3 linked regions of the Lepisosteus oculatus genome follow. The protein of the gene in region 1 interacts with the protein of each later gene in a pairwise test. Links are inferred from orthologs where the notes say so. Each region holds a gene or a part of one and is shown in the gene's direction. Other genes may lie near its edges.

Evidence for each region.
Region 2: the proteins of nckipsd (region 1) and stac interact in binary tests that used the Homo sapiens proteins (3 or more experiments, as listed by UniProt). The link is inferred for Lepisosteus oculatus from reciprocal best matches to the Homo sapiens genes NCKIPSD and STAC.
Region 3: the proteins of nckipsd (region 1) and psmd9 interact in binary tests that used the Homo sapiens proteins (3 or more experiments, as listed by UniProt). The two-hybrid records come from large-scale screens. The link is inferred for Lepisosteus oculatus from reciprocal best matches to the Homo sapiens genes NCKIPSD and PSMD9.

The regions. Positions count from the first base shown.
Region 1 is NC_090699.1:65,473,926-65,484,952, forward strand, and holds the start of nckipsd (NCK-interacting protein with SH3 domain), read left to right. Parts: upstream 1-5,955; 5' UTR 5,956-6,172; coding exon 6,173-6,343; intron 6,344-9,963; exon of another isoform or gene 9,964-10,821; intron 10,822-11,027. Other genes in the region: tRNA (34-2'-O)-methyltransferase regulator WDR6, read right to left, coding at 1-2,880, 3,511-3,580. UniProt on the Homo sapiens protein: Has an important role in stress fiber formation induced by active diaphanous protein homolog 1 (DRF1). Induces microspike formation, in vivo. In vitro, stimulates N-WASP-induced ARP2/3 complex activation in the absence of CDC42.
Region 2 is NC_090705.1:25,709,982-25,720,430, reverse strand, and holds the start of stac (SH3 and cysteine-rich domain-containing protein), read left to right. Parts: upstream 1-6,295; 5' UTR 6,296-6,893; coding exon 6,894-7,010; intron 7,011-10,449. UniProt on the Homo sapiens protein: Promotes expression of the ion channel CACNA1H at the cell membrane, and thereby contributes to the regulation of channel activity.
Region 3 is NC_090717.1:7,042,735-7,053,063, forward strand, and holds psmd9 (26S proteasome non-ATPase regulatory subunit 9), read left to right. Parts: upstream 1-6,175; 5' UTR 6,176-6,226; coding exon 6,227-6,346; intron 6,347-6,725; coding exon 6,726-6,828; intron 6,829-7,499; coding exon 7,500-7,693; intron 7,694-8,347; coding exon 8,348-8,449; intron 8,450-8,643; coding exon 8,644-8,732; intron 8,733-9,684; coding exon 9,685-9,712; 3' UTR 9,713-10,236; downstream 10,237-10,329. Other genes in the region: 4-hydroxyphenylpyruvate dioxygenase, read right to left, coding at 190-267, 886-989, 1,775-1,864, 2,257-2,339, 2,795-2,837, 3,532-3,636, 4,282-4,344, 4,693-4,719 and 1 more. UniProt on the Homo sapiens protein: Acts as a chaperone during the assembly of the 26S proteasome, specifically of the base subcomplex of the PA700/19S regulatory complex (RC).

The DNA.
Region 1 (11,027 bases):
CAGAGAAGAGCAATGCAGACAGACAGGAGGGCTCCTGTACGTCTGTCTGTCCATCTGGGAGCCTGTCTGTCCCTGCACCTGTCTGTCTGTCCCCGCGTCCCCCGCCCTGTGCGCCCGTCTCCCCCTCGGGTTGGGGTACAGTGGCCAGCGCTCTGACGCTGGAGATGTGGTCAGCGATGATGGACAGCACTCTGACAGATCCACAGTCAGGCTGTACACCCAGCACTGTCAGGGTGGTGTCCTCGCCCCCCGTCACCAGAACCTCCCACCACGCCCCAGCCTCTGACCTCACTGCCCCGACCCGACACACGCACGCCACCCCTCGTCCGTGCACCCCCTCTTTCAGCTCCAGTGGCACCCCAAAACCCGACAGGGGGGGCCCTCGGCCGCGGGACAGGAAGACCCCTCCTTGCTTGATGAAGGCGAACCCGTCCCCCAGGCTCGGCGTCCAGCCGGGACCCGCGTTCGCCCTGCTGGGGGCGCAGTAGCTCCACGACCGATGGCCACCCCCGCACGGCACCGAGAGGAGGCGCTCGTGGCGCACGGGGTCCCACACCACGAAATCCACCGAGTGGAACCCCAGCACGAGAAACCTCCCCCTGGGCCCTCCGCCCCCCGCCGCCCCACTTTCCGTGGCTCCCCGCAGTCTGTCCCCCCCCCGGCCTCTCTCCTCCGGACTGACTCCCCCCCCACCCTCGGCGCGCTCTGTCCCGCCTTCTTCCTCCTCCGCTGGGCTCCTCTCCCCCCCCTCCTCCTCCTCCTCCTCCTCCTCCTGCGTCTCGGGGAACAGGACTCTCTCGACCCAGTCCATGCCCCGGCAGGTCCGCTGGGCCCGCAGAACCTCCAGGGTGTCGGGCCTCTCCTCCGCCTCGTCCCCTGACCGGACCCCCAGCACCCGGACGCAGCCGTCCCGCCCGGTGCTGTACAGCAGCCCGCCCTGCGCCCGGAGGGAGGTGACGCCCTGCTTCCCGTGCAGGCCGAACAGAACCGACACCGGGCCCAGCGGGGGCTCGTCCGGCCCCCCTCGCCCCTCCCGCGCCCCCCTGTACAGCAGGACAGAGCCCCTCCGGTCCCCTGCGGCCCACAGCGCCCCCCTGCCCGGCAGGGCGGCCACAGCGGTCAACCAGCGCTTGGCGCAGGCCGGCAGCAGGAGCGGGCGGAGAGGCCGGACCCCGAGTGCCTGCTGCCCCCCCCGCCCGCCGGCCGCACACACCTCCCAGCGGTACACCTGCCCCTCCAGCCCCGAGGCGAAGAGCTGCCAGCGCCCGGGCTCTTCCTCCCCGCCCCTCCCTCTCTCGCTGGCCCAGTGCAGGCTGTGGACTTTGCCCCGGCCCGCCCTCAACTCCAGGGCGCCCCCCGGCTGCTCCAGCGCGAAGACGCGGACCCCGCCGGCGAGGTTCCCCACCGCGCACAGCGCCGCGCCCCCGCCGGCCTCGGCGAGCTCCAGGACGCTGTACGACCTGAACTCGGGGTCCCCCTCCCCCCCCAGCGGCTGCCAGCCCTCGCCCCCGCCCTCCCCGCCGCTGTGAAGGTACACGCACCCCTCGTCTGTCAGGACCACCACACGCAAGTGCCCCTGCGCCCCGAAGCCCGCCAGGCGCACCACTTTGGGGGACCCTCTGCCTCTGAACCTCAGGTCGCACAGAGAGCGGCGTGGGGCAGAAGCACAGCCCCTCCCAGGTCCGCCCTCCCCCTCGCCGTCCCCCCCCCGTGTCCCTCCCTCTCCCCCGATCCGCCACACTCGAATCCCCCCGTCTGCCCCCCCCGTGGCAGCCCAGTGCCCACCTCCCCCACCCTCGCTGACCGCCAGTGCCCGCACCCCCCCCGCCCTGTGACCTTTGAACCGGCGCGCCACGCTGCCGCGGTGCCCGTCCCAAAGAAGGCAGAGGGAGTCCTCCCCGGCGCTGAGCAGGCGGCCCCGGAGCAGCCGGACCGCGAACACCCGGGCCTGGTGCCCGTACAGAGCCCAGAGGCGCACCGGGCTCTCGGACCCACAGCCCGCCGGCCCCCCCAGCGACCCCACCTGCCACAGGCACGCGCTGCGGTCGTCGGAGGCGGAGGCCAGCCACCCGGACTCCGGCAGGTAGGCGATTCCGAAAACGACCCCCTCGTGCCCCTCCAGGCGGCGCTGGACTGCGGGCCCGCCCCCGCCCCCCCCCGCGCTCTCGCCCTGAGCCGGCCCCCACAGGACCAGCTGGCTGAACACCGTACCGCCCACCACAACCAGACCGGCCCAGCTGGGCCCCAGCAGCAGCGCGGAGTACAGCAGGCAGCCCTCCGCGCAGCGCGACAGGGCCAGAGCGACCCGGGCCCAGGGGTCACACAGGACTACGGCATTGTGGGCCAGGGCCACGGCCAGGTGGCGCCGCCCTTGCAGCCAGTGGGCATCCCACACCCAGTCCTGCAGCTCCCACAGCGGACACAGCTCGGCCAGGCGGGGGCTTCCCCCGGCGCGCTCTTCCTCCCTCAGCTCCACCACACACACGGCTTTGCCCCCAAACACCGCCAGAAGAGCTCCGCCCTCTCTCTCCTGCGGAGCCACGCCCCTTCCTAGCCCCTCCCCCGGCGGCCGAAGCTCCACGGCTCTTTGGTCGACCTGCTGCCGCGGTGTCTCCTCTCGCGTGGCCCCCCTCACGCCCACCCCCTTGGTCCCTCCCCCTCCTTCATCGTGTTGCTGCGGTCTCGGCTCGGCTCCGCCCCCACTCTCCTCGTGTGGGCGTGGCTGCTGTTGGGACCCTCCCTCTCCGCTCTCCTGTCGCCGGGGGGCTGGTCGGATGCCATGGATGCGGTGGTTTCTGAGCACGCTCAGTGTGGCGCCAGGCTGCCGTGGGGCTGTGCTGGACGTGCGCAGGCTGTAGACAGAGAGGACCGGACCCTCACCTGTAAAGACAGCGGGCGGGGCACAGGGGGACAAGTCTCAGTTCGGCATGTCCGCATCCTTTTCCATTGCTATGCTTCTATTTTTTCTATTTGCATTCCTCTTTTTTAAGAAACCGGCGAACGCGGGGCCGATTCTGAAAGGGGAGGGAGAGAGATGTGACCACAGCGCAGACCAAACAGCTCCCACTGCCGGCGGAGAGAAACAGAGACAGAGGCGCCCTTCCTACTGCACTGTGACAGATACTCTGGGATTAGAGAAACATTCTCCCCCCCAAAACAACAGATCTAATCCCAGAATCCCCACACCTGCCAGAATCAGAACAGCTCCCAATCCTACTGGGAGAGGGAGGAGGGAACTCAGCTGAACTGGCAGCCCAGTATGTGATCTCCTGTCACAGCCTGAGGAGCAGTGAGCCTGTCTCCCAATTATGTTCTATGTCGTATGTAAATGTCTTCTGATGTGTCTTCATTGTAAATGTCTAATTTTTTATGTTAATTTGTTTTGCTTTGGCAGCACCGATTGTACTCACTGGCCGTGCCAATAAAGCACCTGGAACTGAACTGAACTGATGTGCCACAGCGCCCTGCCTCTGGAGGAGCCTGCTCTCTTCGCTGGCTCTCCCGCCTCACCTGACAGGAGATACTCCTCCCCCAGAAACTCCAGCGCCGTGACCGGGGCGAGGAGCACCGTCGACCTCATCCCCCGCGCGCCTGCCCTCCCTCCGAGCGGCTGCAGAGGAAGAGAGACCGAGAGGGAGAAGGAGAATCTTCGGCTGGAGGGCGTCGCCGACAGGAACAGCCGGTGTTACGTAATGCATGAGTGATGACGTCATAAACGAAAGGTCCAGAATACGGCCCCAGGGAATCGGCAGCCGTCTGGGAAATGTTGAGATTCCTCCGGTGCAGGGTTCTGCGACTGGACAGCAGAAATGCACGGATCTGATTTTTTCATTTATATTTCGCGTATTTTAGAGAAAATACATAATAAAGGCAAGAAGCAATTCACTATGGACTAGACCATCTGCCACGAATTCTTTGGGAACCCTTCTTCCTAAAGCACGCTCTTCACAGACAGAGCCCCGAGAGGCATCCATGCTCCTGGTGCTTGAAGTGATTAGTCAGCCTAATAAATGCAATAACTGGAATACACTAGACGATAAGTAAAAAGGTAACAGTAAAAGCAGTATCATTATAATCCATTAAACAAATGTAAATGGATTCTGTAAATGTCAGTATCGCTTAAATCAGTGACTGCTCCAGCTGTTACACTACATTTCCCAGAATGCTGCAGGAGGAGACCGTTTCCTTTTTCACCCGTGTGTGTGTACAACGAGACAAATACAAGTCATATCACTCATCGCCAGATCAACCACGACCATGATATTAATGAATTTAGCAGTTAAACACTTCAGTTTTTCCAATATCTCTCTACGCACACCAGACTATATCTTAATTATGTCAGACACCTGTGAAATGCTTGACGCGAGGTAAATCATCATACACTACTTATCATAGTGATACATTCTCAGTCAACACGTCTTCCTAAATAGCCCCCAGGCTACTGCGCCTGATTGCAAACCCAGAGCTGCCCATCTGGCAGTTATTTTAGCAGCTGTGGAGAAACTGAGAGACGGTCCCTCTCTCACACATACTTCAGAAGGGAAACTGCTCGGTTAGGATCCAGTGACGACAGCAACGGCGATGGCTTTGGACTTAAACGGAATAGCTTTTCTTCCTAAAAGCGACGTCTGTTTTACACTCTTGTGACACACATCTCTAAGCTACAGGACACACGAGAGCACATTCAAACGCCGTCCTCTACAAACGCTTTCCCCCTCCCGGCTTCCGTCCACACGTGGGTCCCGTGTCTCTCGGCTGTCCAATCAGAGAGCCCCACAGTGCAGTGTCTTCGCGTTTCCCGGGTCACTGTAAACCTGCCGCTGATTGGCTGGAGCGTTTCTTAGCGACGATAAAAATCATATTATTTACATGATTAAATACGTTAATTGACCTTTTTTCTCTTTTCAGTACCGCAATAAAGGTAATATCATGAACACACGCCACAAAGTCGGAACTATTAGGAACACAATATTTTAAAGTAAATATTAACATTTATCTTGTCTGATGTACTGTATCCATTTTGGCCTTTAAACTATTTCTATTTTCAAGTCAGAAGTGTCCAGTCCTGGTCCAAGAGGACACGTGTGTAGTTTTCATCCCATTTCAGCTCTTAATGGCCGCAGTCACCTTTACGTTATTGATTTAAATTGGACCGAGTTAGCTGCCTGCTCTTCAGGTGCTCCTGTAAACAACTAAAACACCCTCAAGACCACTGTTTTGTGGTTTATAATCAGTAATCTATGCAACAAATGTCACCCTAATATACTTCTTTAAAAAAAACGAACAAGAGCAAACACCAACCTACAGACGTGATCAAACTAAAAAAAAGTATATCCATGACGGAGAACTTGAGGCACTGTTTTACAACAAGGTTGGTAGGTGCCTGGAACAAGGAACTAGAGCTTGATGCTGATTCTCGGAGATCTTCCAAGACTGAAGTTCTCAACCTCGGTCCTAAAGAGGTGATCAGCTGATGAGCAACACACACAGGCGCTCGTTAAAAAAAATATATTTTTTCTTTCTCCAAAGGGCAGCACTCCTGAACGAGGGGTTTTCTGAACCTCAAAAAGTGGTACTGGGTGGGGAGCCAGTTTTAGGGTTTTAAAGAACTGAAAGCAAAGTTAAAATACGCCTTCAATAAAAATAGGACCAGGGTCATGAGTGCCAGCTGTTAGAAACGGTTGGATGAGATTCTCATCTCAAGTGAGCAACCTCCCCCCTCGTTTGTGATTCTTATTTCCCCTTTCCCGTCCTAAAATATATTTTTTAAAACACACACACAGCTAAATAATGTTATTGTTTCTGTTAAAATAGGAAGGGGGGGGGGGGGGGAGACAGACGTTAACATCGCTTTACACAGTATGCATGAATTTCTGCTCCAGTTGCAGGCGGACAGCGGCGTCTGCTGATGAGCTGCTTTCGGGGGCGTGCCCGTCCGGTCCATTTCTGCGTGCGTGCGCGCCCCCTGCAGTGTTTACAAGCGTTTCGGGCTGGCCGGCGGTTCAGCGGGGCAGGCAGGGAGAGAATCGGGAATAAATCAGTGTTTATCCCTCCCCCTGTAGAGTATACTAGGATTCCGGACTTCAGAGGGAAGAGTTACCCTCTTGTCCGCTTCCCGGAGCGCTAGCCTGTGAAGGAGGTGTGATTATTATTATTTATTGCACGGCTCGGCATGTATCGGTCCCTGTACGCGTTTCGCTCGCCGGAGCCCAATTCCCTGCCCTTCGCCGCCGGAGAGACCTTCCTCATCCTGGACAAGAGCAACCAGCACTGGTGGCTCGGGTCCCGGTCCAGCTCGGGGGAGACCGGCTACATCCCGACCTCGTACATAGAGAAGATTCAGGTGGGTCGCCACCGAGGGCTGGCTGGGGGGGGTACCCTCCGGCACCGCGCACGGGTGTCCGAGAAGGTGGGGGTGTCGGGCCAGAGCTGGGGTTCCGGGGGGGCACACGGACTCGTATTTAATTAGCTCGCTGTAGTTGTCCCGCGGGGTGTCAGTGTTATTGCTGTTGTTATGATTGTGATTGATTTCACCATGCCGGGCAGACGCGTCAATGCTGGTCAGGATGGCTGATGGAATCCGGTAAGATCTTGCAGCGCTGTGCATGGGATAATGCAGCACCCCCCTTCAAAAACAACACGAAAAAACAGCAAGCGAGCTGTGCGGTGAACCCCTAGTTTGAGTTACTGGGGGGCACCCCCCCAACCTGTGTTTGGGTCTGCAGAGCGTTAGCAGGGTCAGTCGGCACAGTCTGAGCGGTCCTCCCGCCGGCCCGGCTGCTGTCCGGTCTGTGTCCTTGCGCCGCAGGCTCTGGAGAGCAGCCGGGACGGTAAGCGAAGACGGAAGACTGGCGAGGGGCAAGTTCAGCATCCTGGTGTCGGTTCCCTCTGGCAGGTTTCGGAGTGAGGGACGGCGTCGGTGCTCAGCACAGCGGGCGAGTCAGGGTGTGGTACAGTGTCGGGGTGCTCTGTGTGGTGTTGGGGCTCGGGGCTCAGGGCTGCAGGGGGCAGTGTTTGGGCTCATGGTGCAGTGGGGATCTCAGTGCAATGTTGGGACTCAGGGTGCAGTGTCTGTGCAGTGTTGGGGCTCAAGGCTGCAGGGGGCAGCGTTGAGGCTCATGGGGCAGGAGGGTACTCGTGCATTGCTGGGGCTCAGGGCAGCATGGGGCAGTGTCGAGGCTCATGGTGTAGTGGGGTACTCTGTGCAGTGTTGGGGCTCAAAGTATAGTGGGGTGCTCTGTGCAGTGTTGGGGCTCAAGGCTGCAGGGGGCAGCATGAGGGATGAGCAGGTTACCCTAGAGGGAATTTCTAGAAGCCCATGCTTCTCAGCAGATGGACTTACGTTACGTCTGAATGAACAACTCCGAGGACAGCAGCAGACTCTGTAGGTATTATTTCCAGAATTCAATAACAGTTGTGCTCCAGGCTCAATCTCCTCTAATCTGACTGTGACAAACAGACTAGGAGGAGAGGATAGAAATCACATTTGTGCGAGAGAGCGAGAGAGACGGATGTCAAAGGCATTTGGGTTTTGTATATACCAGAGGGCGAGAGTCTCCCGGCGTGACGGCTTTGTGCAAAAGATTAAAACGTTAAACCCCGAGACGCTGAAGAGATTCCAGCAAATTCCTTTTTATTTGATATCTTCTGTTCTCTTCCACAAATTGCGTAAATAATCTCTTTTATCTACTGGCTCTTTAAACGCTGACGAAGAGCCGTAATCAGTGGAGTGCGAAGAGGAGATTATTTAGTCGCACTGTTGCGTGATGATTTAAAATCCACAGTTCCTGCGCTGCCTTGTTCATTTGCTGAATCATTGAGTTTTTGGATATTTAGTTATTTGCTCAGTAATCGGCAGTGTGGTTATTCAGTCCTGAATAATTCAGTTATTCACATTCATTTATGAATGTGGTCTGTTTTTCAAATAATAGCGTTGCTCAGTAATTCGATTAACTTGATTGCAGTCTTTGCTTATTCAGGTATTTAGCTGCCCAGTCTCTGAACAGTAAGTCATATTATCTCATCATTGTGCTCGTGGGCTGGCAGGTTTTTAATTAGGATTGATTAGGCAGCGCTAATGGCTTTCGGTTGAAGACTACAGCGGTGATTCAGTTTGTATCGATCCTCCAAGCTGTCGGCTGCCAGGTTAGTCCACTCAAAGCGATGAAGTAATTCAAGTTTTTTTTTATTGCAACTCTCTTGCTCGTGTTGTCAGCACACTGGCCACGAGTGGATGAGAGAGTGTGTGTTGTCCCCCCACCCCCAGGGGTGGAAAAACTAATCTGCCACATTCAGAACCGCGGACTCGCCCGCCCCCCCTCCCCACAACCTCTCTCTTCAGCATATACCTGATCCCAGAGGCCTGTGACTGGCTGTGCCCTTGTATCTCTATACCCCGTCTGCTCAGTGAGATGAGCACTAAATCCCCTCAGCACTGCCTAGCCTCCTGGCTCTCAACAGCTTCCTGTTTTCTGTGCTCATATTATAATGTGCTCCCTTTTTCATGCACCCTTGCTTCCTGGCTGATAAGTGGCTCTGAATAAAACCGTGCCCAGATGCACGAATGTCACTGCGCGCGCGTGCCATGAGCAGAGATCTGCTCCACAGCTGTCTAGGCCACAGTCAGCCCCTCGCTGTCTCCCCACAATGAGGTTATTGATAGGAAGAGCTGCAGCTGCTCTGTAGTCTGCAGCCCGTTCCTGTCCTGTCCTGTCCTGTCCCTCCTCTGGCTGACCCTGTCCCGTTGGCTACAGTGAGCTGGGCTGCAGCCGCCGATGGAGAACGGACTGGGAACGAGACCGGCTGGAGAGGAGGGGACGGGGGTTTTGCCGGGCTGAGCCGCCCTTCCTGGGAAGAGGCTGCAGTAAAGTGGGCTGGGCTAGTCTGCCCTGGACTTGGCTCTGCTGGATGGAGACTGGAATGTGAAGCTGGAGTGGACCGTTTTTAGACAGCGGGCTTGAAACGGCCACCCCCCACCGGCACAGAACCAGCACAGAGCCGACCCAGGCCTCCAGGGCCTGTGGTGGGCTATCTGTGTTGTGTTAATGTGACCCTGAGGCCCGGTATTTTTAGTGCTGGTGATTTGAGCTGTAGGGATTGCAGAGATTTCTGAGGCCCTGTGGGGCTGTGATGCACAGCACAGTCTATTTCAGAACGGGAGGATAATTAATTAATCCACTAAGGGGGTCCAGCAGCTCTGCCCTGCGGGAGACTGGTGGGCGGGTGGGTGGATAGGGAGTGGGTGCATGACGTGACGATGGTAACTTACAGTCGGCCTGCAGCTGAAAAGTAAAGCAGAGAGCTGAAGTCAAGAACGTGTGTTTGTCTGAATAAAGGTATATGAGAAAAGGATAAAAAAAAGATATAATAAAACCGAATGTGGTGTTGATACAGACAAGTAACACAGGAAAAAGGAGAGGCTGGGCTTTCCAGCTGTGCTCGAATGGAATTAATTTGAATTGAACTAACCTTCATTGCCCCTAAGGGAATTTGTCTTGCAGATCAAGAGCTCATAAATATATAACGTATACGACGATAATACAGTACAGCGACGGTACAATACCATAATACAAAACAAGATTCAACCACATCACTCGATATCGGAACTCTTCCAGTACCGAAAGATTGAAGAAACAGGCAACTGGATTGTAAACAGTCTACAAGCAATAATAATGAAAGAAGGTCCCTACCTGCCAACAATTCTTTCATTGTTCATCAACTGAATGTCTTTCGGCAAAAAGGATGTAAATGCTCTCTTGGTGATCTACAGGGGATCTGGCACCTGAGTGGATGAGAGGTCATCTAAGACCTCCTGTGCAAGATCAATTCTTGTCGCCGAGTCCAAGAAATGTGCTGGTAATCGTGCCCCTGGCCCTGATTGCTTTGTTCAGCTTGTTTTGGTTGTGCAAGGACAGGGCACCTCCCCCCCCCGAAGGCCTTAGGGTTAGGAGGCTCGGAGTGAAAAGTGTCAACGTTGTGCTTTCTGCATTAAAACTCTTCAGCTCCCTTGAAGAAAACTCCCCCTGTTGCTCCTTCACTCCGCCAGGGAAGGGATGGGCCTCGCACACACAGCTCAGCCCGTCGGACCGTGGGCGCGGCGCGGCTCTGCATGGCGGCTCCTGTGCTATGAGAGCTGGCGGTGGGGATTTACTTGCAGGCGTGAGCAGGCGTGAGCAGGCGTGAGCAGGCGTGTGCAGGCGCCTCTCGTGGGAGCCGAGCGAGACGCAGCTGGCTGCGGTTCTCCGGCCGGCCTGGTCAGCTGGCGGAGCGGCCGAACGCCAATGCGATGTGTCCGAACCCGCTCTGGAGCAGTTCCCGTATCCGTGTGGAGACGATAGAGAGTGCTTTTGAGGTTAAGTAAAAAAGAGGGTGTTTTAACACAAGGTTCGTTCAGCACACAGGTCAGCAGGTGCTGATCACCCCGTGATAGAACTGTGCCACAACGAGTTCCTTAACAGTGCCGCTGTGTGTGTGAGAGAGCACTTGTGTGCAGTGAGCAGAGTGCTGTAGTGCACTGGAGCCTGGTGGAGTGGAGAACAGCCCAGCTAACTCAAATGGGGTGAGTCTTTCACTCTGGCTTCGCACGGAGTGCACGTCGGCGGTGGGGAAGGGCTTCTGGAGCTGTTTTGCAGCCAGGCCAGCAGCATTGCGGTTCCCGGTCCAGGCAGAAGTGCCCCGCTGTTCAGCACGGGGAGTTTCCTCCGCTGTGGCTGCACAGACTCCGAGAGTCAGGGGGAGCCCCGTCTTCTTCAATGATCTCATTATGGAGATTCTGGATAATCCCACTGCGCTCCTCCTCCCACGCTGTCTGGCTCAAGAGAGGTAAAGGTAGCAGGGGACCGGAAAGGGAGAGAGGTAGGGAGGAAAGAAGAGAGGAGGTTGTCTCCCCCAGGGGGTTTTGGGAACCACAGAAACACTGCAGTGCAGTATACAGTGACACTGATTGGCATAGCACTGGGAATTAAATACAAACCGCAGGGTAACAAATCAGATTCCCACTGACATTGCGGAGCACTGAGAAACTGCAG
Region 2 (10,449 bases), on another chromosome or scaffold:
TGGAGACATTTCGGCAGCAGCTGGAGCAGTACGACGCATTACTGGGGAGGATTGGGAGGCTAGAGACACTCCTGAAAATGCAGAGGAAGGAGACAGTATGTTCCAGCAGTCAAACAGTTGAGCAGCTGTCTCCTGAAAAGTGCCTCTCCCCGCTGCGCAGGTTGCAATGCCTGGCGGAAGCTCTGCCCCCCGCAGAGCACACACCGCCTCAGGACACTCCATCCCGGCCTCTCCGCTCACCAATGCGCAGGAATTTGTTGATGCTGTCCCCACCGTCTATCTCCCCCCAGGAAGCACCGTTTACAGAGCGGAATTCACAGACGCCAGTGGGACGAATAATTCTCCCAGATATCCAACTGTTAACCATCACTCAGGAGATGGAGGGGGGGTTGTACTTGCAGTGCATCGGAATAGACGGGAAAGCAAGAGCCGACCGCTACGCTGCCCTCGTGTTTCGAAATCTTGTGACTTTACTGGGGGCGGACCACGTCTGTCAATTTCGATGGGTCCAGAGGCAAAAGTGCCTTGCCTTGCAATCTCCGGGAAACCATTAGTAGCATGGTGAATCGGAGATTCTCAACCCTTACTTCGTGGGACTGGAAAATAATTTGTGATCGGATCAACGAAATGCTTCGTAGAAGGAGGCGCTCTTTTCCTCTAGTCTAACAGTCTGTCCACAAACAAAACATTCGTGTGAGACAAGAGGAATTGAAAAAAAACAATTACTTTTGTCAATGGAAACCAGTGTGTCTCTCTTTGCTGGATGTCCCTCTCACTCTCTGCTGAATGAATAAAAGCATTTTATTAAAAACGCGTTTGCGTTTGTCTGGTATTTACTTTGGTCCCTTTTAACTGTTTTTCCATCTACTGTATTGCTTTGAGATGCCACTTTTAAAGGTGATATGAAAAATAAAGTTTTTTATTATTGTTATAGAGAAACATGATCAGATTTTCCCTGGTTCAGAAAAAAAGATCTAAAGTTCTACACCTAACTTTCTTAATTCGATGTATTTAAAGCAGTGAACTACTGTAGGTGTAACATAACATTCAGAAATACAATCGAGAATAGTTTTGTGGTGTTTATTTAGATTAAATGTTCCTAAAACGTATAACGTAACAAATTGAATGACGATTAAAATCTGTAATCTTTCCACTTGTACTGTATGTCATCGGAAAGTTTCTGCTTTGTGTAAGGATGGTATCAAAAAGTAATCTTAAGTGGTGAGAAAGCTGTGCTCAATGTACTTAAGGGATTTAAAAGTAAAAGGAGTTGCTTCATATTGCTTGACTAATTTTAAAAACTAAGTAATAAATCCAGACGTTCCCTCGGTGCCGCACCGGGTGTAAATATCAAAATATACATTCGTCCCTGGCAGAGGCCGAAGAGCGCCCAGCTGGGGTGCGCAGGGTGGGGTCTAGGAAGGCGTACAGTCTGGGCAGGTATAGATTACACTTTTCTTAAACGTATTTGAAAAATAAAAACGATTACAATCTAATCCTTCCACGTTTGATCCCAAAATCCCAAGAAAAATAAATCTAAACGGGTAGAAAGCTATGCTGAAAGTTTATTAAGATACTTAGAAGACAAAGATACTGTATCAATTTATGTTGCATTAGTCTGATTATGATGAAAAAAACACATATAATTAAACACGCGTTTGCGATTTAAATCAAAACACGATTTAAATCAATATAAATGTTTATATTGTAACGCATACTGTCCAGCCTCCATTTCTCTATAAAAATTTACTCTATTACACACACACAATAGAAGCAGGAAGCAGAAGCAGGGACCGTTGTCAGAAGGGAAGAAGGTGACTATTCATTGTTATCAAAAATGACTTAGAATCGATCATGTTGTGATATTTTGAAATATAAAAGTCAATTGATTGTCCATAATATTGCTATTCTATTTTTTCGAAGAAATGTTTGTTAAAAGAAAAGTCCAGCACCAGCTGCATTTGAACACACAACCCGTGAGTTAGTAATCGGGCATGTAGACCAGTGGGCTACAAGGGAAGTTGCATGAAGAAAGAGGCAAAACAGCCCTACATAGCCCTGTCGCAGTACACGAATATAATCATATCGTTATTAATTTCTTGAGATACGCGATTCCATATTATATTCCCTTTTAATCAAATTCTAAAAGTATGTTTGTTGACTCCGGTATCACGTTTGTTAAAGACTTCGATGCTTAAAATGTTTAGGGAGAAATGGAATACTGGTGTGTATGTTTTCTTTAAAGTACCGAGACCAGCCATATACTGTATGTTTAAATTCCAAAATTAATATTGTTTATGGCCTTCACACGCGTTGCAGTATGCTCCTATTCTTTTTATGCTCAGGCACTAAGATTTCCCTTCAGTGGTAAAATTCCATATAAATATTCAATACTTAAACGGGCACAGTTAAGACATTAAATATACATATACATACTGTATACAGTACAGTTTGCATATGGTAATATGTTTAGGTTCCTAAATCAATCTCTTTTATTTATTTCACATGCTTTTATGAGCATGTGAAAGGCATGGTGAATCGATTCTCAAAAATTACGGTACTTTGCATGATTGGAAACAAATGCGTGATTGCGAAATGCTGTGGTGTTACTTTTACAAAGAGGGTCAATGAAAAAAAGAATGTGGACCAGGGCAATACTTTGAGTTTACACTTACAGCTTGTCCAAAGTCATTCATTATTAATACTATTAGTAATATCTTCGTTAAAGACTTTGATGGCGACAGCTCAAACATGAGAGGTATTATAGGAGAATTTACAGTAACTAGCAGTATTTACCGGTAACTTGCGGTATTTACCGGAAACTCGCGGTAGACTGCGTACAACGTACCGGAAAATAATGCGGTATCGCCCGCGCATTTTGAATGGCTGCATCTGTAGTACCGAGCAACGGGAAGCGAGTTTAGATGGTTTAAATAGCGCTGCCTGCCGCATGGTAGAGCGTGTGCTGATGGATTATCACGTGCGGCGGCACTTGTTATTATGAACCCGCTGCTGGCACTGGTTGGCTCTTTTGTGGGTTGATCTCTGCTGGCTGGCGGTCATGACAGTAGAATAGAATAGAACAGAACAATTCAGGGGGATGGGAAGGAATTTTCAGTAGCATGCAATGTTGTCATTGTTAAGGAACAAGTAATAGGTTTATTCCATGCAGAAAAGAGAAGAGAAAACACAATGTTTCATCTGTGAAGCCTTCTTCAGGTGTGAGGGTCTTCAGGTCAAAATGAAATGCTAGGAATTTGTAATGTAGGGTCCTCTGAACAAATTTAACTTTGATGCAGGACAAATTTATTTACCACAAGCAATACTGTAGTGGCAGTACAGTAGCAGATTGAAGATATGGTTAAAACATTATAACTTTTTACAAAGTATATAAACTTAATATAGTCTGAAGGAGCACGTAAAAACTTTTCCAAAAAAACTACAGTATGTAACCAAATGAAAGACTTTGATGTTTAAAATGTTTAGGAAGAAAGTGGAATACTGGTGTGTATTTTTTATTTAAACTACCAATACCAGCTATATACATTTTACATAATATGTTTATGTTCCTAAAGTAATATCGTTTATGACCTTCAGATGTGTTATGCTTGTCTTCTTTTTGTGCTCAGCTACTAAAATTTCCCTTTAGCTGTCAAATTCCATATAAATATTCAATACTAAGTGTATTAAAACATGCACAGAAAAGAGATTAAATGATTACATCCTTTCACTAACAACCAATGCACCAAGAGTGCCCCTGTCAGTCATTTTGGCCAGCCAAATCACGTACCACGGTACACCGCAGTGAACTGTGGGTAATTGTACGTGGTATGGGGTTGTACTGTGCATTTTGAATGGCTGGATCTGTAAATCCTTAAATTCAACAAATATATTTTTCAATAAATAAAACACCACATTTTTAAACAATTCTAAAACTGTTCCTATTATGTTATTATTTACACATTTATAGGAGACACTGGTCGCTAATAAAGAAGAAAATCATTAGAGACATAATTACATTACTAGAAACATTAGGACAGAGTCCCCTCTGTGTGTGTAGGTAAATAACCTCTGATTTATCTGCTTTTAAAAGTTTCCAGCATCTCCAATTTATACAGTACATGATTACAGATTACAAACATAAAAAGAAAATCATGTTTCAGCTATTTTCACTCTCTCAGAATTCTAAGAAAGATTTATGAAGACATGCAATAAAGTAAATCATATTTACCTTGAGGCAGACTTGTATTGTGAAGAAGATTAACTACATTTGAGCGGTACGAGAATGTCTTATCTATCACTGAACAGAGACCATTATCCTAGTGACTCAAGGCCAATATTTTATAATTCTAAAAGAAATCCATTGGTAGGCTTTTATATTGTTTTATCTGCTGAGGTCCAGTATCTTAACTGTTACCCAGTTTGCATTGAAATTGAAGGACATCGGAGCAGAGTGTTGCTGTGTGCTGAGATGAAAGGTATGGCCTTCAATGCTGTTTCTGTTTTTCTGCAGTATTCCCAAGGCAATCTAACCCATTCTGAAAGGCAGTGATATTCCAGAAGAATTCTCCTTTAGAGGATAGACGTCAGCCTGCATGGGTGTCATGATAGCCAGTTGTAGAGCACAATCTGCCATTGATTTAAAACAATTTATCTCTAGATTAGTGAACACAAGTAACAAAATCATTGGGGTGAATCAGACCAAGCTAAATCCTCTCTGCAAAAATAGTATTCTAAAGAAGGCTAACAGCATTGAGCAGTGTGTGGAACACTTCCTCCTCTATGAATCATCACTACTCCCATCTGCCTCTGTGCCCCCAGGTGCAACACCAATACATCTAGGATATTGTTTATCCCCCCTGCAATTTCAATTTAGAATAATGTAAAGCATCCAACCATTTTCTAACCGTTTCTTCCAATTCAGGGTCACAGGAGAGCAGGAGACCCCAGTAAGCAGCATGGGCAAGGCAGGGTATACCCTGGATGGGACACCAGTCCATCATACGGGTACACACAGACACAAACATAGACATGCACAAACTCAAACCAGGGCCAATTTTCCTAGAAGCCAATTAACCTCCCTGTGTGATGTTAGACTGCGGAAGAACATACAAACTCCAAACAGAGAGCAACCCAGGTTTGGAATTGAACACAGGGTCTAAGCGCTGCAACAGCAGCAATTCTAACCACTGTTTCGCCATCATGTCCTAATGGAAAATGTTCTTTCCATTTTCCCATGGCTTTCCTCTAGGTGCTTTGGTTTCATCCCACAGTCCAAAGATATACCTGTACTCTTAGGTTAATTAGCTTACAGGAAACTTGGCCCTGGTGTGAGTGTGTACGTGTCTGTATCTGTGTTTGCCCTATGATGGACTGGCGTCCTATTCTGAGTGTGACACATCTTGCACTTTTTGCTTGCCGAGAAAAGGCTACTGCTCCCTTGCAAAGCTGAAATGGTTGGGGTGTAATAATAATACATTACACTTTCTTGTTCTTGTTCTTGTTCTTGTTGTTGTTCTTCTTCTTCTTCTTATAGGTCTTATTTGGTTCAAATGTTTAACTTTATTGAATCCTTTTACGAAAAGAGTTTTCATTACAATAAAAGACTACAATTACTGTGTAGTGTGTTTTTCACAAATGAGGAAGAACACACTTTACAAGTACATGAAAGACAATATACAGTTTTGTGCTGATATGACCACTGAGTACAAAAATAAAGTTGATAAAAATATGGAATTTCAAACAGCTTCGGAAGTAAGCCGAAGTTAATTATGTTTGGTCATGTTTTCACCATTTGTGATACTCCAGCCTCAAAATGCCATATTCACTGTTTACTTTCCTTCCATGTGCTTTGTTCTTAGCAATTCATCAAAACTGATTTTTTTAAAATGATTTAACTAAAAGATAATGATTGCTCACTATTCTCTGTTTGATTTTGAGTTCATCAGAGCATTCATCAAAAATAATGCTAAAATATTTATGTTGTGTATCCTTATTTGTGTCTTTAACTTATTTTCCATTTAATAAATGTTTTCTCACATTCCTAGATGCACATGATGACAAATATGATAAATGAAGTCTGATGGTGCCCCGCATAATATGCGCAGATTCGAAGTTATCATTTTTCAAAATATTTTACTTAATCGAACTACGATTAAAGAAATACGCGTTGCTGTAGTTATTTTAACGTTTATTTTATGACCTTTTATATGAAATAGGGGTTGATATCACTGTAGGATGAACAAGGATGGCACTGATCCAGCACGACTCCTCCCTCCGAAACCGTCAGTCAGACATACCAGAGACATAAACAAAAGTCTCACGCATTTTAACCAGATCATTCTAATCCAGCTCATCTGAGTGAAAGGATACAGTATACCGTTTACTTGTATACATCAGTGGGAGGTATATGCCAATAGGGACAAAGCTCTGACAAACAGCAGTTTTCTGGTGAAGGGATATGAAAAACTGAACAAGTCTCAAGTCTGCGATCTGAGTTACATTTTTTTTCCTGAGGTTTGTTAATTTGAGTGTTAATCCCCGTTTGCTTTATTTTTTTTTGTACTTTATTTTTTTCCTACCCGTCGGCCTTTGTATGAAGAAAGTTGATTGATATAAAGTTATTGAATCGGAAATATAATCGATTTGACTTCCCAATCCATAACCCTTTACTATTGATAGTTTGACAAAAGACGGGCTACCCTCCTTTTGGTGTACTTTAATGAGATGATGCTTTGATGGTTCTGGGACTCACAGACGGTTCCAGGGGCCAGGACAGCTTTCAGAACCAGTATGTAAAATTTTAATAAAATACAGAGACTCCACGAAGAAGGTGAGGAACGTAACAGGAGCATCTGCCGCTGGTTTTATTTTCAACTATAAAAACCCTATAGATGATTCCACCAGCTAACATGCTAGAGGAAGACAACATAGAAAAAGAAAAGGAAAACGAACAAGAGCATGATCTGCCTCAATCACCAGCGTCTACTGTCAGCCAGCAAGAATCAAAGGTAATAAATGAAGTCTCTTCTTCGGAGGAGTTTTGTTTCTACCAGAACATGTTTCATTTTCGACCTGATCAAGGGGTATTCTTCATTTTATACTCTTAGCGAATCTCTGTAGTTCCAGACTTATAAAATCAAGTAATTATTCTACAACACAGTTTTGTGGAACAGACGACTGTTTAAATTACAGATTAATATTAACTAAATAATAATACACACATAATTCTAGCGGAATCTGGTCTAAATGTTAAGCATCATACTGTATATAGACATTCTGAGTAGCAACTAAATTCGTAAACAACTAATTATGCAACACCCATCAACACGCAATCTGAATTAAAATTCAGATGAAATGAAAATTTCTCAAGATGGCATTCATATCTTTGAATTGTCTGTTAAATGGTTACAGTAAGTGCATTTGAGATAATGACATTGTTTTCCACCTTGGCATGTTATTTTTTATTCATATTGAGTCATTCTTATGTTTCCGTGTGAATAATTAGAAGCCAGACAGGAAGTCAAAGTCTAAACACAAAAGCATTTTAGATGTAAGGCTGGTTATTACACTACTTTTAAATTAGTTATTGGTCACATGTCTTATACACTATGATCCTATAGTTTGAAACAAATTGAAAAAAGTATTTACAGTGTGCTACAGCATATGAAATAGAATTAATTTTATATCTGTCATTATCAAACTGTCAGACTAGCTTTAACAACAACTTTTAAGAAAGAAATGACTGCTAGCTAACATTAGCTACAGTAGATAGGTGTTGTAATAGTTAATGAAGCTAACAGTACTATATATTTTTCTTTACTATATTACATTTCAAGTTCTTATGTAATATTTATCCAAATGGGATATCCTTATGCTTTTAATGAGTCTAGTATGTTATAATTTAATGTTAAAATATTAGGGTTCACCTTTGTATTTCAAATTATTTCAAATCAGCCCACCAAAAAAAACTTTACCAAAGGTCTCCCTGTTGGCAGTTCATGTACAGTAAGTTTCTAGTTCAGTGACAATTTTCTGGGTCACCTATAGCCTTGAGTGTGAACTACAGTATATTGCAAAAAGAGCATTGCACTAGGTAAAGTTATTGAGGATTAGATTACACTAAGAACTATTTAAATAAGTTTTGTGATATTCTTTCACCAGCATTCACTAGAGATGTGATGATCTTTTGATCTAGTGAGTCCATGAGCTAACCAGTATGTAAAACAATCATGAGATGGAAAGTTCCAGGTGTGAACTACTTCACCTAGTATTTAAGCATTTACTGTTTTGTACTACACAGTGCAGCTGACATTAAAGTATAATAGGCTGAACTAATGAACTACTAATTTGTAAAGCTGGACTCTTCTAGTACAATTGTTTAAGTTGCTAGTAAAAGTACTAAGATTAAATAAGTCAGATTCAGTCAAATAATTTAGAAACTCAGGATTTGTGACTAAACAAGGGGTTAATGTTTCTGTCTCAGCTCTTTTGTCCTGCATTTGATTTCTGGTTGTGGAGCCTTATGTGTGGAGTTTGCATATTCTCCTGTGTTCCTTTGTGTTCTCACCTGGTGCATCCTTTTCCTCCCACAGTCCAAAGACATGTTACCTGAGTTAATTGGCATCCCTGAATTGCCCTAAATGTGTGTGCACCCTGCAATGTACTGTTATTCCATCCAGGATATAATTGCATCTTGCATTCTTTGCCTGCTGGATTACACTCCAGCTCAAAGGCACCCTCTATGAATAAATCAGTTGCAGAAAATGGATATATGAGTAAAATCGAAAGGTGCCCACTTGCTCAGATGACACATAATGAGATGACCACATAACTTGCATACTATAATTTAATTTTGTAATTTGATACTGTATACTATTTTTACATTGTGCTTTTCAAAGGGCCATGAGGAATTGGTTGCTTGATATTCTTACTGTTGCCCAGACACAGTCAGGCATTCCTGTACAGTGCGTTCAATGAATAAAAGGCATGTTTTCAAGGTTCTTTTTATTCTTTTTCTCTTGTGATGAAGGATTGGTTTTCAGGATATCAAAATGACTGGTCTCCCTTTTAACAAAGGCGTTTTCACTGGCCTTTGCTAGTACTCATTTATTGCTTGTTTATTTATTGAAGTAACTTTGTCCTGAAGTAGTATTTGAAAAAGTAGGAAATCTTTAGCCAATTACAGTATTGTATAATATTCTTATCTTTCAAATTCCAGCTATATCACTGGTACAGCTTATACAAGGTCAGTTTTGTCCCTCAAACCTGTGAGGAGAATTTCACTTACCCATGCATAGAAAATTGTCTGCAGAGTATGATTCTCTGCTTAGTGTTGTTTTGGAATCACAAAGACCACGCAAATGACTCATTAAATGATGAGTTAGTGTCTCTAAGAATTTCTGAAGGAAAAACAGTCAGGGTCTTCAAAAACATGTAAGCTTGATGTATTTACTTAAAGATACAATAACAAAATTCAAAGTCAAACAAAACCAAGGTCTTTGTAATATTTTCTGTTTTTCTATTTCCTGCGTTTGTAGTGTACTGTATGTGGTTAAGATCATGGACTTGAACCATCTTCACTCCTTCAAGTACCCAAGCTGAACTGTCCAAACAAGAATAAAACCCTCAGTGACCAGTGTTTTCACATACTGGGTCTTGGATGATGTTACATAGGGGTTTAGAGGTGTGTCACTGAACATTAATCTCCTTTTCTTTTTCTTTGCGAACTGATGAATTAAGTTAGCCTACCTTAAGAAACTTTTCTAAAGTCCTGTATCATTTAAAATAAATGTCAAGGTTGTTGGTAATAAAACTTGATTCATTGTATCCCAGAGTGTCTAAATTGGATTTATGTCTGAAGTTGAAGAAAACAGAATGTCTCATTAGCTCCACATGTTCTCCAATTTAGCTTTTGTTCCCACACATATTACTGTGATTATCACGGTGGGAAGAAAGCAAATAACTTTCATATTTCTGAGCCATTTCCTTGAATGCATCAAGGTGTTTCTTGCTTCAAGCTAAAATCATGACCTGATTATGAGAACATAATATAAATATTTGGGTAACATGCTAAAATGTAATTCATTGATCCAGGCTTTAAATATAAGCTGTTATGTGTTGCTGCAGTATGTGTTGCATAGAAAGGAGTATCTGTTTAGGTTGACCTTAAACTCAGAATACTTTGCAATTGAGTCGTGTAGAGTACTGTATATTGCTGTGTATTCAATTTATAGGCTACAAATTAGCTACTGTATTGGAATCATAATATTTGCTCATCATAAATGGCATTTTTAACAGAAATTAAGAGAAAGGTTTGATTCTAAACTTACCCACTTTTACTCTCTCACAGTAGTATATATATCACTTCCTGAACACCCCTTTGCACATCACTCTCGCCACCCCTTGCGAAAATGAGAGAGGATTTTGTCAGCCTCATGCTTGCAGTTA
Region 3 (10,329 bases), on another chromosome or scaffold:
CTGATGTAGAAACAGCTATAAATCTGTGGTCTGGTATTTGTTTCATTTTTTGAGTCAACTGTGTGAACGAGGACACTCAGCAACCCTTAATCTCCTGAATCCCGAGATGAGATGAGATCTGAGTGATCTTCCCCACGTGCTCTGACCAGATTCGAGCCACAGCCAGTTGCTTCCTGGCCGCTTGCTTACCACTCCACCACAGGCACCATCTCATCGTCTGGCTGGTTCCCCACCACGTGGTCAATGAAGTTCAGCTGTCCGCTGGGCCTGCAGGGCAGAGCAACACCTTCGTCACCACAGGTCCCGCACAGGCAACTCGCCCCACATGGAGATGCAGGTCACCATGGAGCCGCCCGTGTTTAATCTGATACGCAGGTGTCCCATGGCAAAGATCATGACTTCATCATTAAGGTTCTATTTTTCCATGATTTCCCCCCTATTTGCTCAGTAAGGGAGAAAAAAGTCTGAAAGCCCTCAAAGTAGCACGGATTACAAGACACCTTCCGGTTCAGACGTGGTTTGAGAGTGTGCTAAAAAAACAGATCTCAGTGGTATCCCCCCCCCCACCCTTAATAAAATTGCTTTATTGAAACTGGATCATATAAAGAACACCTTGGTTGACAATAAGATACAGAGCCACAAGACGTCCGCATGACTCGACTTTCATTGCTCTTAGCCCAGCCTTATCCAACCAGCTTTTTCTCTAGAGAAAATCTCCATCATTTGACATTTTAAGGCTTGGGCCACCTATTGTGGTATAAAGAGTAACTTGCTTTATATCCTACAGGCCCAGCTGTAATCCATACAAAACTGAACTTATCCCTATTTATTACTTTTCATGTTTAGAAAAAAACAACATTCAACCAGGCCTTCTGATGCACTCACAGCTTGGCCAGCAGGGGGTCTCGGAACAGAGGAGCCTTGAACCCGGGCAGGAAGAGTCCCCTGTAGTCCGTCCTCTCCACAAGCGTGTGAGTGGTGTCCCCATACTGCAGAGACATCGGCCACCAGGGGTCAGTCCTCATGCTTCACTACGCCCATTCAGAAAGCTCCATGAACTGAGAGAAGGACACCACTAGGCACGCACGTTACCAGCTGTCAGATTACAGCAATTCTTTTAACAATGGAATGCTACATGCAGAATTTCAAGCAGAGAAGACCAAGCCTCATTTCCTTTTGGGAATTTTCTGCCAGAAAACTGCAGGTAGTTCTGGCAGTTTTCACTTACTTTTGCCATGCTGATACCTCTAGAATGCATGTACTCAACTGTGGTGTGGTGAAGCTTGGATCATAGTGTTTTAGTACACTTCAGTCTGCTCTCACTTTAACGTATCACTTTAATTATACTGTAAATGTTGCTCCAAATCCTAGTCAGTCTGGTGTAAGCTTTGGAGTTATTCAATGTTAATTGGTACACAAGCTCATTATTGTTTTTGGGGGAATTTTAACATGGCTGTATTTCCAACTGCCTCATAAGAAATAATCTTGAGACTGTATTTAGTACCTCCCTCACAAAATGTGTTTTACAGGCAAATGTCAGGTGTGCTGGTTGAGACAGGATGGACACCACATCCTATCGAAGAACACAGGGGCAAGGAGCTCTCTCGGGCTTGACTACAGACAGCAGGGTTGTCTGTAATCAATCTTCCACGTCTCCAAGCGGATTTGGTTTGGGAACACTTGGATCTTCTGCAGGGCCCTGCACTTTAGAAGTCTGTGTCATTTTACACATCATTCCTGTGCTCGACCACCTGTAATGCAGGCCCTCACGTACCGTCTGGAGCACTGCTAATTTCACTTTGCCGTATTTGTCTTCCTCTGTGTAGGGCTCCTTCAGAACAACAGCCCCACGCTCCCGAGCTTTCTGCAAAGGACAGACAGAAGGCATGAGAAACACACTTCATTAATCGAGGCCTGTCAGTCCCCACCCCAGTCTACGGATCTTACATTCCTGTGCACGTTCCTTTTGAATGAAACCAGTTTCACCTGACCCAGCCTGTGACATGACAGCAACTTTACAGTACAACATATTTAGGACTTTGTGCTTTTGAATAATTCACATTCACGAAATATGCAAAGATAAGTGTCCTTGATCATCTTCGGTCTCAGTTTTCTTTTCGGTTTTGCAGGCAGGTTGCTTTTTCCTGTCTCTCAAGAAGGAGCTGAATATGATGTGCTCAGATCCTTCCCTTTTCTGATAACCGGTAGCTGGATAAAAGCAGCACTCCCTCCAGTTCCCTTGTCTGGGCTCAGTACCTGAACGATAAAGTCGCAGTCCTCCACTGAAAACGCAATGTCTTTCACTCCATCTCCGTGTTCCACGAGATGTTCTCCCATCTCTAGGCAGAAAAAAAAGAGGGGAAAACACAGCAGAGAGTCAGCCGTCTGAAAACGAATAAGGTCGTGTTTAGAATCATTTAGATGCAGCGTGCTTTGTGAATGTTGCTTGGCTCATTTGCTGCTGAGCCTGTTACAGAAGATGAGACGCCACCCTCTTGGGATCTAGACTGTGCTGAATTCTCCCATGATAGGACCCATGTTGGCACAATTCTCCACTGTCTGGCAGTGGTGCCACGTGGCTCGAAAGCCAGAGATGGCCAAGGGCGGCCGTGATCAATTCCCAGCAGAAGAAGTGCCTCAGAGTCACAGGCACCATTTCATGTCTTTCCAGCAGAGCGGATTAAACACAGAGGTTTGGCTCACAGGGCCAGAGAGGAGATCAATCCTGCTAATGTTTGTAGCTTTACTACAACTTTTCCCACCTCCCACCTCCTTCCCGTAACCAGATACTTACCTTTGTTTCCTGGATTCAGTGGAGATGAGAAGACAAATACGATCTGCAGGAAGGCATGACAAAGAATGAATATACACATGTCCAGCCCCCCCCCACACAATAACTGTGCTTTGCTTCATCAGACCTTTCCGAATACTGAAGGGGGCGATACCATTAAAGCCTCTATTCAGGGACCGGCTTGTTTTCCGAGAGTGCTACTTAAAAACAAGAAATAGAGGAACCAGTAAAGGTTCATTCCAAACTGAATAGCAAAAAGAAAGAGGAACAAACAGCATTTGTTGGAGGCTTTGTTCACCTGAGGTTGTGTTTTTTCCTTCTTTTTTTTTTCTCCTTTTCAGTTTGAAAGTAATCTCCCCGTGTATTTCTATTTAAACGTTTCCTTGGATAGTTAATGAAGGCCTTTGCCCCATGGCTCTTTAGACAGGACACCCTAAGGTTAATTAGGAGCTCGGAGGGAGTTCACTTTCCTTACTGAAAATCTACCTCTATCTGGGGAGGAAGGACGGCCTATCTTTACTCTAAAGGACCAAGAAGAAAGAGCCTACCCACAGCGACCAGCAAAAAACAAAGATGTCAAACTTGGTATTGTGACCTCAAGGAAGACATCAGACAAAACTGTCAATGTTTGTTAATGTTTTAGTATTTGCGTCCAATACTCTGCTGTTGGCCCCCTGGATGGCTTTGTCACTGGACAGAAGCTACTGTAGCTGCAGAGCACACAGGAAAGGGGGGCTTGCCTTGTCCTGCTGGACCACATGGGACACCACCTCCCTGCTCCCCGTCTCCAGGCCCCGGTACGCCAGGGGCTCAAATCCCATCTTGTTGCAGTAGAATGAGGCCGCCTAGAAAGGAGAGCAAGCAGGCAGGTTCACTCCATATACGGCACAGGCAATATGTGTCCTGCCCTAAGTCACGCTGCAGGTAGGCTGGAAACAAAGTCAAAAACGATTTTAATTTTTAACATAAAAATAAATTAGAAACCTGTTTAGGATGAACCACCATAACTATGCTACTAAAAAAAAATACACTCAATATCTTAGCCCACAGAGAAGTTTTGAATAGACCTTTACTTACTCACATAGAATAATTAAAAGATTCCTAGTTCTAATAGTACATTGTATTTTCCCATTCTAATTTATTCAGATTACTTTTACAAAAGGACCGTCGTTTTCAGGGAAGATATTAATCTTTGTTGGAAGACATTGTCTACTTAAATTGTTTTAATGACATGTAGACATAAGTATGTCTATTAAATGAAATTAAAGACATAATTCGATTAACACTGTAAACTAAAGCCCCTCGGTCAGATGAAACCGCTGAAGGCATCAATGTGGGTTTAATAAAATAACTGAAGCCACTCCACCCCTCTCTTAAAGCCAATAGAAAGCTTTCCAGAGGAAAACCTCTGTGATTTCGAGAGAGGAAAAAATAAGATGCGAGAAAACCAAAAGTACAAAATTATTCAACTGTCGGATAAATACGCTTACCTGTTTGGCGTTGCCAACCCAGAATGTGATGTGGTCGAAACAAATAAACTTTCCTCTTTCATGCTATAATCAGATAAACACATTAATAAGGAATAAGCATAAAAACAATACAGTTTAAGCTAAGCATATTTCCAGCTAATACGCTCCATCGCGTCTACGAATCAATTTAAGTACACGTCGTGAATTTAAAAGGATATTTGTGATGGGAATAAAAACATCCCCATCACATTTTGTCAACCTATAATAGACTTTGTCAACCACAACAGGTGTTTTCTCTTCTTCCAGATATCCTATTGCATAAAAAATACATATTTATATAAAATGAGCTGCCCTTACTGCACGATTTCAGGCATGACCACAGGGCACTTCAATGAGTAAGAACTTATAATAAAAACGCTATACTGTACGTACCTTTTCGCCCTTGTCGGTGTAAGAAGTCTAAAGAGAAGGAGAAATACAGTTTTACATATGCCAAAATACTCCATACATATACATCACATGATACATACACGAGGACTCATCTGAAACAGAAAAATGTGCGAAATGAATAAAAGGGACTATCAAACAGAAGTGGAAAATTGTGGGGAAGAAGCGTAGTTAAAGAGCTTACTAAAATGTCATTTATAAACCAATAAAGTGATCTCACCATTGTTAGCTGGTTGATTCTTGCAGCAGCCGAACCGGGGATGCAATGAACTTCAGACCATTAAGCGAAAAGACGACACGAAGCACTCCACGCCCCCGGAGTAATGACTGGTGTAATGTGGGGCTCCCTCACTCAAGATTTTTTATGAGTGGGGTAGATTTTAAGCACCGCATATTTCAGTTAAGCACAATAAGACAATGGAACATTGACATTATGTATACATATAGCATATGGCAATGATATATTCTAATATATCTATAATAAAGTTCAGGTGGGGAGCTGCGTCAGCATGCGAAGTCTGCAGAGGAACAATAGGCTTATTCCATGCTGAAAAGAGAAATTATTTCAGCATGGAATAAACCTATTACCTGTTCCTATGTATAATATAACACGTTAAAAACACTTTATTAAAGAATGTATCACTGGTCCCTATGACAGTCATACAGTATGTGAATATACACAGACGGCTGGATGGTGCCCTTTTTGAGACGTTTGTCAGAACGTATTAAAAAGTATATTTCATTGTGAAATGTAGCACGAGGACAAAACAACGTTTTTGTCGGTCACAAAAATGCTTATTCATGCTGGCGTGAATCTAGTGCTGCAGCGCTAGTTAGTTCATGCTTGAATGGTTCCACATGTTGGGTTATTCGATAGAGGAGTTCCTCAGATCCTGGTTTCCAATTGGTTATCCCTAAAACTGCCTTCTGGAAGGGAAACAAAAAAATATACTGTAGCAAGCGCTTTCCACCCCCCGCTTTGAACACATTGTCTTAAATGCGCACAGTAAAGAATATCGGGCCTCATCTCACTATAGCATCAGCAAATCTATTCACGATCATCTTATCACTTATCTTGCATTTTTTTAAATTAAACGTTGAAAGCAAAATGACTAATTTTTATTATGCGAGATGCTATTTATGTGTTCATTAATTTGGTCTACCTATCCGGGTAAATGTTCCTTCAAACGCAATTATTTACACGCCAGTGCATAGAAGGAACGAAATGGAACGGCAAAAACTGATGCGTTTTCTTTTCAGAGATAAAACACTTAATTCATTAAGTTATGGTGCTGTTTGCTAAATCAATTTAAACTCAAATGTGTGGTTTTCCTGTGAGCAAAACCGGGCAGAACTGACATCAAAGGAATTGCGTTCCATACATTTTAATTACAGGGGATTACTGAAAAAACATTGAAGATTGAATATAGCTTCGCGTTCCATGGAATAGCAGAGTATGTCCATTTAAAGGATCCGTAGTTGTAGTTGCTGCAGTTAAACGTCCGGACACGGTTTGAAGATGACAGAAGAAAGCGACCACAATAACTCCACATTTACGGTTGATTATGTTAAAAATCTCGTCAAAAAGAAAGATGAAATTGAAGAACAGATTAAAGCATACTACGACGTTCTGGAAGATGTAAGATTTCAGATTATCCCATTGTGTACTCAAAAATCGGTTCAGTCAGAGTCTGCATAGTTGGGTTTGTGTACCTTGTGTATTTTAGACAGAGATAAAATAAACTCGTCGTAGTATTTGATTTTCAAGTTCTGAACTTTCTGATAACGGGAAAACGATATAATGCGTAAAACACATAGATCGCTGTAGAAAAAATATAACACGCAGTGTGTATCTAAAAGGGCCTGTGTTTTTTTCTGCGACCGTTTGAAAAGTTTTATGCGTAGATTATCGTCAAGGACCCCTGACAGAAATAGTGCGAACGGGTGTTTTAGATGTTATTGTAATATGCAACCGTGATGAGCTTGCAATACGAGTGATCCCAATACTTCATCGACAGCAAAAAGGCGTTGGGATGGACGGTCCGCTCGTTGACGTAGAAGGGTACCCGCGAGCAGACGTGGATGTGTTCCAGGTCCGCACGGCGAGACACAACATCTCCTGTGAGTGGTGCGGGTGTGTGAAAACCGTACGGCCAAAGAGCGAGAGAGCTCTTATTTTCTAAGCCATGTGACGCAGCTGCCTCTCTGGACGGCCGCGTCAGCGTGTTTCGGCTGCAGAGGAGCACGGAAAGGTTACTTCAGCGAAACGCAACGTTTCGGGAGGATAAGGAGACGGAGTAGCTGAGAAAGAGCCTCAGGGGGGTGTTAGCAGCTGTAATCTGTAAATGAATGCAGTATACAGTCTTATCCATTGATGTACAGCTTTTACCCCTGTGAGCCCATTCTCTCCTGCTCTGGCCTTGTTCCCCTGCTCTTTATAATCCCACTACTTTACTCTTCACATCTTAAGACCCCACAGCAGAAACGTTGTTTCTTATTTCTACTTTTTCAGTGTGGTATTATCCTTTACTTGTGCCCATGCTCAAATTAGCCTCAACACTAGTCGTGTCTGCCTTGAGCAGAATCTGAAATTGATTGTCAAAAGTGCAGCAGCAGAAGATGCCCAGACGCCACGGGCCGTCTAATTTAGAGGTTCAGTTCGTCCCGCAGTTGGGAGCCGCCTCTTGTCCCCCGGCCCAGCTCATGTGTGCATTGTGTGGGAAGCCTCCAGCTGGCGTGGCGCCAGCGCTGGTCCCCACCGTGACGCAGTGACGTGTGTCACCCCCGCGCAGGCCTGCAGAACGACCACAAGGCCATCATGCTGGAGATCGAGGAGGCGCTGCACCAGCTCCACGCCCGAGAGAAGGCCAAGAGGGCGTGGGACGAGGCCGAGGCGCGAGAGGAGGCCATGGAGCAGGCCCGCAGCCCTCCTCAGCCCTTCGCCAGAGCGGACGCCGTCACCCCCGGCTCTCCAGCCAGCCTGGCCGTGAGTCCTCTGAGCTAGCTGGGACCCTGTGGGGCTCTGGGGGGGCAGAACGTGGAAATATTCGACTGGAGGCAGGAGCTGGGAAATTCTTGCGCTGCAGACTAATTTCCAGATGTTGCATGATGAATTGCAAATCATCTGCATGTTGAAAGAATGCAACTCCTTTCTGTCTATGCATGCGTTTGCATGATGTGGAAGTGTTGTACTTCATATGTTTGTGGAATCTGTAAACTCAGATCCAGATTAATGCTGACCCCTGACTTGACTCTTGACTCTCCTGATTGTCTGGGGAATTGATTTAAGGAACGTTAGCCCTTGTTGTGAAATAAGCCCCAGCCTTATGGATAGCAAGTGGCAGAGCCGGTAGATTGATGGACTGTGGGCTGACATTGTGTTGTGTGCAATCTGATTTATCCTTTTTAATTATGCTGCTGGATCTTTACTCTCTGTACATTTACTAGGCAGTTATAACAGTAAAAACTGGTAGTGTTAAAATCTGAATAATTCTTGAACCTTATGAAGAAATCTTAAATGCAACACGGTGCTGGTCTCTTCCCTAATGAGGCTAATGCTGTTTTTTTTTTTGGTTTATCTGGAGAAATATGTCCTGCTCTGAAATGGCTTAAAATGATTCTCCCCCCCCTTCTTGTACAGGGCTTGCATGTTGGGGACGAGATCGTTGAGTTTGGCAGTGTGAATTCAGTGAACTTTCAGAACCTGCAGAACATCGCCATGGTTGTCCAGCACAGCGAAGGGGTAAGAATTTGCTTTCAGAAACCTTTGAGCTCATCTGCAGGTCTTCATCCCAGTGGGCCTGTAGGCGAGCTTTTAAACACGTTGATTGGAGCACTGCACTCTGTACAGCTCAGTGATCGCTGTTCTTCATGACCGCGTAGTTGTAGAAAAGTATATTGTTGGCTTGAATGACATTGGTGAATCTTTTTCCTTAGAAACCCCTGAGCATAACTGTGATTCGCAGTGGGCAGACAGTGCACCTGGGCCTGACGCCACAGCGCTGGAGTGGAAGAGGCCTGCTGGGGTGGGTCTGAAAACGATGATTTAACAACAGTCGTGCAGCCAGCCACTTCGGCTTCTTGTGATGCTCTATCTTAATTTCTTGCAGTTTTATTCTTAAGTATTCAAGCCGGGGAAAAAAATGCCAGTAGGTACTCTGTACGTTGTTGATTTCTTGGCGTAGGCCCAGACAAATCAAAATAACCGCCCTGCCACTAACACACGAGGAACGAGCCCAGTGCTCGACGACAGGATTTCATTGGTCAGAAGCCAGAACCCCCGGTCAAAGGAAAGCCACAGTCGTTCTGTGATTAAAGGGTGGGTCGGTGATCTTTCCTGAAGCCCTCCTGTTAGAAAAATATAAATACTCCACATAAGCACCCTCATTTATGTTCCCTCCTCCACCCCATCTCCACATCTGCAGTTGCCCCTTGGTCACTGCTCACCCTGCATGGGGGTCCCAGCCTCCTTGTCCTGTGGCCAGGAGGTTGTCCCTCAGCCAAGTGAGTTACTCCAGATCTTACTATGACTAAAACACCCAGTACACTTCATTCCTGGGTGGTGTTGTTCCCACTGAAACCTCAACAGGGTTTGTACTTTGAGCAAATAAAATACAGTGTTGGTTTAAAAAACAAAACCCGTTTTGTATGGAGCTGGGCAGGTTGTTTTTTCCCAGGACATGCGGATTAGCATAAAGACGCTCAATAAGGTTTGATCAGCTCTGCCCTTCCTACGTTTTGAGAAACAGCATTGAAAAACAAGCGCTGTCAGCCACCCACACAGGCATTGAGTTATGTGACTCCTTGAATTCGTTTTTTAAAATGGGGGTCAAGGTGATTCTGGTTATAGAGATGTTTGGTGATAGATGTTTTAATTCTTAGCAGACGTCTCTAATAGAATGCGTTTCAGAAAGAACAAAATGTTATGGTGTTTGTGTTGCTTCCTTTCCTAATCTTCCAAATGTTTTGTGCCAATAGGTGTAACATTGTGCCACTGCGAAAATAACAACATTGAAGCACCAGAACAGCTGCACCACTCGAGGAGCTTCAAGAAGCTGACTTGTCTATAAGGGCTGCAAATGGAGTTGCTATATTTTGTTGGTGTTTTCTGGTTTTTTTTTTCCCTGTGTAAGAATTGGGAGCTGAAGGAGTTATTGAATTTCATTACACTGGGTTATTTATTACTGTCACTCTGTTGAAACACATTTTATGCCTTTACATTGCTCAAGCATATAGGCTTCCACATGATAAAGAAAAAATTACATTTGACGAACGGAAAGAAATGCTCAGGATCTGTCCCCAGTTGTGGAACTGTGTGGAACTGAATTACATGGGACACTTAAATTATGGCAGATGGTAACAGGATTGGGGAATTGTCACGAGGAAAGCATGAATTTTTTTTGATGTCATATGTTGATGCTTCTTGGTTGGCAGAAATGATTTTCTTACTCGTATATCTAAATTTTAACAACACTGAAGGAAATCATTTTCTAATGACATGACCACAATAAACGGATTTGTCCAAACTTGCTTTTTGAGTTTTGTGTGTGTGTGTCAGTGTTTTTAATAGACATGTCTTTTCCTACAATTCAGTACACTGGGTGACGTGGTAAGTGGGGTTGT